Saccharomyces cerevisiae S288C: one gene and its partner. Changing the gene in region 1 together with any one later gene gives a genetic interaction. Each region holds a gene or a part of one and is shown in the gene's direction. Other genes may lie near its edges.

Region 1 (3,902 bases):
ATTTAGGTGGATTTTTTGTGTGGTTTTGAAATTAAAACATTTTTAGAGGAAAATTGTGATCACAGAATTTCACATTCCCAGTTACTTTAATAATATTCATAGTTAGAGATGAAGAGGTACTATTAATATGAAGGTTAAGTATGAATCTTCTCATGCTTCTATAAGCGAGGGATATAAAACATCGCCAACTGTTTCATCTTATTTATTATCAATATTATGTGTGTTTGGAGCTTACTATACAGTTAATGTGATAATTAATATAACTCTTGTATAACTACCATATCAATGTTCAATTAATAGATCTTAAATCGGTTTCATTACTACCTGAACTGCATGTATGAAATTTCCTTCCACATTAGGCACATTCACATGTAATACGAGATGTACATCTATATGTGATATTAGCATTTACACAGCAATCCTATATCACTATTAATGGCCACTTGTTCCAAAAAGTATATATTATGAAGCGTATTATTATTTTATACTCAGATAGCTGGTGCGATACGTTCGCAGATTTTGAGCGCAATGCAATGAGTATGACGGAAAGGTTCACTCATAATTTCAATAACTCAAGTTGTTTGAATTTAAAATACATTCCCCGTTAGATAAGCTATAAACATTGTTACTTGCGCTTGCGGCACATGTAATGTAGTTTCTTTCTTTTTCCAAGAAAAAAGAAAGCCCTGTAGGGGGCTCGAACCCCTAACCTTATGATTAAGAGTCATACGCGCTACCGATTGCGCCAACAAGGCTCTTTAATTATGAAAAATTACGTTTAATAAGTGACTTAAAAATATAAATACTGTTACTAAAATGTGAACTAAAACCTCAATATTATTTTCTGATCACTTGATGAATAGCTGGTAATTGTTGGATTCCATTGTTGGTAAAGGCTATAATTTTACGTATATAGAATTGTTGGAATAAAAATCCACTATCGTCTATCAACTATAGTTATATTATCAATATATTATCATATACGGTGTTAAGATGATGACATAAGTTATGAGAAGCTGTCATCGAAGTTAGAGGAAGCTGAAGTGCAAGGATTGATAATGTAATAGGATAATGAAACATATAAAACGGAATGAGGAATAATCGTAATATTAGTATGTAGAAATATAGATTCCATTTTGAGGATTCCTATATCCTCGAGGAGAACTTCTAGTATATTCTGTATACATAATATTACTGCCTTTATCAATAATGGAATCCCAACAACTATCTGAAAATTCACGTGATTCTCATGTGAGTACATCAGAAAACAACCACCTAACAACCGTGTTTGAATGTTGATCTGAAAACAAAAATTAATCTCTCGTACTTATTATGGATATTGTATTTTCTCAAAATTCCAAATGATTTTCTTGTTAGATGGTATTCACGGTCATCGGAATCTCAGTTCAATATCACCAATTTGCTTATAAGGTTTATGCAAGATAACATGTTTGGTCTTGTTCCCAAGTATAACTTAAGAAAAAAAAATTACAATCCAAGAAAGGTAATACAGAATTCATAGCAATAATGGGGTCCATTTTCAATAGATAATGTACCTGGAAGAAAAGGGCTGACTAGGAAACAAAAAGAAAAACAAAACTATGATACTCCATCAAACATAGGGAAATTTACTCGAATATGAAAAGTACAAATCTGTCAAAAGCACATCGTATATTGTCTTGGTTCCGCTTTTATTCAGAAGAATTACTGAAATGAAGAGGAATGACGTAATAAACAAACAACGATTCTGATATCAGAAAGACATCTTGAATATTCCTATGTAGTAATTAACTATCCCAGTACTTACAAACATAACTTGACGATGCACGCTACGATTTTTGTGTGTTTAAACTTTTGTTGGTTGGGACTCAAGAAGATCTTCTCTGAGATAATTGTAATTAAATGTACTTTAGGAGTGTTCATGTATAATTTGCCTCTGCAAAAACTTAATAATGTATTTTAAAACTTGCATGTTGCTCTGTGAATCTGAATGTATGATAATGCTACGATTACTCTAGGGAACTTCCTTTTTACATTTAAAATTTCCGAGATCCTCAGCTGACAAATAAATGTCATATCAAGACAATAAACGGTAGTGCTAAAGTAATTGCATATTAAACAGGCGCGACTAAAGCTTTCATCCCTTCTATTATTGCATAACCTGGCTATACATGAAAACACTTCTCACATTTGATTTAAGAAGTTTACTGTTCTAAGAAAATAAAGAACGTGATAATGATGAATGAAGAGGATTCTACAGAAACGAAAAGCCTAGTCATAACTAATGGCATGTTTATCATAGACGACATCGAGCGTAGTAAATATAATATTCACTATAAGAATGTCCCAGGAGGCGGAGGGACTTTTGCCATTTTGGGTGCATGCATAATATCTTCCGGCAATGTCACATCCAAAGGTTTGAAGTGGATAGTGGACAGAGGCTCTGACTTTCCAAAGGAAGTTATAAGGGAAATAGACTCATGGGGTACTGATGTGAGGTTTCGAGATGACTTTAGCAGATTAACTACCAAAGGGTTGAATTATTACGAGGGAAGTGATGATTTGAGAAAGTTCAAGTTTTTGACGCCGAAGAAGCAGATTAACGTCGATGACTGGATTTCCACATTTGGGCAGAAGATAATTGATGAAATGCATGCGTTTCATTTGCTATGTTCTGGGTCTAGATGCTTAGACATAATAAACGATCTGCTACGGGTGAAAAGTTCAAAGGGCACAAAACCAATCGTGATTTGGGAGCCATTCCCAGATCTTTGCGACTTTGATCATCAAAATGACATTAAAAGTGTAATGCAGAGGAACGATGTTACGGTAATATTATCTCCAAATGCCGAAGAATCAAGTCGCTTATTTGGTTTAAGTAGCAAGGAACCGACTAGTTTGGAAGAATGTCTAGCATTAGCGCATCGTTTCGATGATTTCATGGATGAAAACAATATGTGTATTCTACGATGCGGTGCCCTCGGAAGCATATCGGTAAGTGAGAAGTTTAAGAACGGACGAACCTATGACCATTTCCCCGCCTACCATTTCAAAACTCAGTCTAAAGTACTAGATCCTACTGGCGGGGGAAACTCGTTCCTTGGCGGCTTTGCAGTTTCTTATGCCCTAACGAAAAGCTTAGATATTGCTAGTATATGTGGGAACATCGCTGCAGGCGCAATAATTGAACAATTCGGAATACCGAGGTACGATCCAATTGCTAAAACCTGGAACGGAATCACATTCTTGGATAGACTGAAATTTTACCTTTCACAGTCCGGTCTTCAATATAATATAAACGATCTTTACAAAAGTCTAACACGATGATCATATCAGCTTGTTCATTGCTCTTATTTTTCTGCAAAAATATACATATATATATATAAGTAAGTGTTATATACTACTTGAGATTAGGCGTTGTAACAAGATTCAAAAAATTCGAACTCGAACTGTGAAACCTTCACAAATATGCTTTCCACTTCTTCGACGGGAAACTTGTCAACTTCAGCCTTTAGAAATTCACACCAAGTTTGAAAATGCTCACCATCATGTAAATCAATCCATTTTTGATATTTCCAATGCAACCCTGGGGCTCTAGGAGTATCACGAGCCCATCTCCAATAGAGTTCCTCAGCAACCCATAAGCTGGTTACTAAGGATGGCCATGTAATTGAGGCGTCCTTTCTCAGCTCATCTAAGAAATTAATATACGCATCAACGCCGGGGATCGCTTTATTGTCAAAATTATCTCTTTCTTCCTTGGTGAGGGATGGTGCCAATAATTCTAAGCAGTCATGAAAGTATGAGTTTTCATCATTAGAAAAAAATCCAATCTTTTTGGCTAAGGTTATTAAAGCGTGAGTAGTTGGTGCTAAAGAAGTCGTCTTACATATCAACCTTAA
Region 2 (3,288 bases), on another chromosome or scaffold:
CATGTCAGTTTAAGTTTGAAGGTTGACACTGTAAAATTTACTTTGTATATTGCATTTATGGATGATTTACAGTGTTTCAATTATGCTCTATTGAGGATAGTGCTTTTGCAGAATATTTCACTTGAGGCCACGCATACTGGCCTAAGGCATTACATTTTGAAATAATCTTCGCATGGGGCTTGTCACAGTCATGAAAGGGGAAATAGCTTCTAGTATCTGGCATGATATGTCCTTACAGAACTTGATCTTTCACAGCATAAGAATTATTACATCCTAATATAGATTTCCGACACTGCAGTGAGGCAGATGCCAATATTGAATCGAAGTTTTGATTAAGGTATGTGAGAGTGTGATTGTTTGACATCCCTCCAGTTGTTCGAAGATATCAACGGCGCAGGAAAGCCGCTGATAAAATGGTCGCTCCGTGGTTGAAATTGTAGTAAATAACCACTTTTTCTTACGTAGAACTTTATCCTTTTGGCTGTGGTTTGAAATTATTCGTTTTCTTCCCAAACGTTGCAGGGAAATAAGAAAAAAGAAGGAGAAATAATACCTGACAACGTAGCAGCGAGCCTTAGTTCATCTGCTCAGGTTGAAAAACATTGATCTTGAGCATTTTCATCTTGCGCTTTAAATCTCTTGGAGTATAATTAAGAGCAAATTGTAACAGTATTATGACATTTGCAGGACTCACACCCAGAAGTCCTTTCCACCACTTCAGTACTGTAACTTGAAAAAAAAAGGGAGAGAATTGATCTAATTAAAATTATATAGTTATTCAAATTGGAAGTAAATAAATAAGGACTGCCGGCCCATTTTTCTTTTTTTTCTCTTAACTGACCTGATATTTTTGAAACACTTAACGCCGTTTTCTTCAATTAAATCAGAAGTGCAATTAGTGGTGCTATGTTAACATATGTTTGAGAGCCTACTAAATGTTAGAGTGGACAGTTCTTGCTTACAATGATTAAGAATTGATGGCTAGTAATGTGGGCGGTCGCATCTCGCTTGTCTAAGGATGGAGTTCCTAAATTCTTCACGATCGGGAACAGGTCCTTTGTCCCAACTTGCCAGTTTATCGTCAACGAGTTTATCAATCTCGTCGTAGTGGATAGTAATCCATGGATGATCTTCATTACCGCAAGTAGTCCAATTCACTGGTGGTAGTTTTACGCTCCAAAATCTCTTATCATAATCCGCTATGCGGTAAAATGTCGATGTATTATGCGTAAAATTGTTATAATTGTCTGTTGTATCCGTACAGCATACCAATGCCAAGCCTTGAAAGGCGACGGCTAGTGCCAAAATTTTCATCCTTTCAGTATACCTGATTTTGGCTTTATCCTTTCAATGTGCCTGATTTTGGCTTTCTCGTATCTTTCGCCTGATAATATGAAAAAGTATATACTGTGAAAAAACAACCGTTGGAGAGCTACGACCGACTGAAAAGATAAAAATGCTTGAGTTTTTCAGGTTAGCATGCCGTCTAGTAGAATTAAACCATTGTAGTTCTTCACTTTTGTATTAAACGTAGGATTGAGGCGGTGGCTGCTTTTGGTTTACTATGCGTTGTAAGGGGATGGGGAAATGGAACGTCCAGAAGAAAGTTATAGTTCCCGTTTGCATAACAGCAGAGACAAAAATGGTCGAGCACTTCCGTGTTGACTGTATATCTGTGCATGGTTGACTAATTGTTGTTTGATGGCCTGAAGTTCTTGTCACACTCTGCAAATTATCCCGACATTCAGACGTACACGTACAAAACACGAATGCTACTCTAGCATATCCAATCGATCGCACTGAAGCGATCAGCTGATGATCAGGCGGTACATTGCATACTCTGCGTAAGGCCTTTTTCACCAATTGACCGCATCGTATATTTCCCAATCCGGTTATTAAATCGTTATCAGGCGGAAACCTTCGCGAACAGTATACTGGAGAGTGTTGCGACAAGATATTTAAAAGCGGAAAACGGGCATATAAAATAGATGAGTGCAGACTAATGAAAAAGACCCCAGACCCATCTCCACCTTTTGCAAGCACGAAGAACGTAGGCATGTCAAACGAAGAACCGGAAAAAATGGTTAACGATCGAATTGTGGTGAAGGCCATCGAGCCAAAAGATGAGGAAGCCTGGAACAAACTGTGGAAGGAGTATCAGGGTTTCCAAAAAACGGTTATGCCTCCGGAAGTAGCCACCACTACCTTCGCAAGGTTTATAGACCCTACGGTCAAACTATGGGGTGCTCTAGCCTTTGACACCGAGACCGGCGATGCAATTGGCTTTGCACACTACCTGAACCATTTGACGTCGTGGCATGTCGAAGAAGTTGTCTACATGAATGACTTATATGTCACTGAACGCGCAAGAGTCAAAGGCGTAGGTAGAAAGCTCATAGAATTTGTATACAGCCGTGCCGATGAGCTCGGTACGCCTGCAGTGTACTGGGTTACAGACCATTACAATCACCGCGCACAGTTGCTGTACACCAAAGTGGCTTACAAGACAGATAAGGTTCTTTACAAGAGAAACGGATACTGAAACCGCTGTGTAATGTAGACTACTGTGTATAGAGATAACTCTAGCTTCTATAGGCTCACTTGCGAAGCTTTTTTCCCACTTTTTCCCAGTGAAATAGTTTCTTATTGGCTTTTCATAGTTTGTTCTCCGATTTAATCGCAAGCGCCGTACGGCGCAGGCACAGAATGACTTGCAGCTTAATCCAGGTGCATTTTAAGAAACTTATCTGCTGGGAAGACCCCGAAGTTCATCGTTTACAATGTGCCGTAAAGAACACATTTGAGGGTGCAATCTGGTTCGTCTTTTGCCATAATTAGTAGTGCTCATCCGTGATCCTTTAATTTACTTTTGTGATGCGATGATTTGCAGATACTATATAAGCAATGGACACCGTCCATCACCGATGAGGCTAGAACATCGTAGTGCTTTGTAAAAGAACTGTTAAAGACCCAGTACGAAAATTTTTCCATAATGGACCCTGGTATTGCTAATCATACCCTCCCCGAGGAATTTGAAGAGGTTGTCGTTCCCGAGATGCTGGAAAAGGAAGTAGGAGCCAAGGTCGATGTCAAGCCAACGCTAACCACATCTTCTCCAGCACCTTCTTACATTGAATTGATAGATCCAGGTGTGCATAACATCGAGATTTACGCAGAAATGTACAACCGCCCGATCTACCGTGTCGCATTATTCTTCTCACTTTTCCTCATTGCCTATGCTTACGGATTAGATGGTAATATCCGTTACACTTTCCAGGCGTACGCGAC

The links.
Region 2: mutations in MAK32 (region 1) and HPA3 impair growth when combined (synthetic growth defect), as found in Saccharomyces cerevisiae (one study listed by BioGRID).

Annotation. Positions count from the first base shown.
Region 1 is NC_001135.5:150,602-154,503, forward strand, and holds MAK32 (Mak32p), read left to right. Parts: upstream 1-2,235; coding exon 2,236-3,327; downstream 3,328-3,902. Other genes in the region: PET18 (Pet18p), read right to left, coding at 3,411-3,902. UniProt on the Saccharomyces cerevisiae protein: Necessary for the structural stability of L-A double-stranded RNA-containing particles. Necessary for growth at 37 degrees Celsius as well as for maintenance of the killer plasmid.
Region 2 is NC_001137.3:24,665-27,952, forward strand, and holds HPA3 (D-amino-acid N-acetyltransferase), read left to right. Parts: upstream 1-2,056; coding exon 2,057-2,542; downstream 2,543-3,288. Other genes in the region: YEL068C (uncharacterized protein), read right to left, coding at 982-1,314; YEL067C (uncharacterized protein), read right to left, coding at 1,525-2,112; SIT1 (siderophore transporter), read left to right, coding at 2,993-3,288. UniProt on the Saccharomyces cerevisiae protein: N-acetyltransferase that acts on a wide range of D-amino acids. Catalyzes the N-acetylation through an ordered bi-bi mechanism, in which acetyl-CoA is the first substrate to be bound and CoA is the last product to be liberated.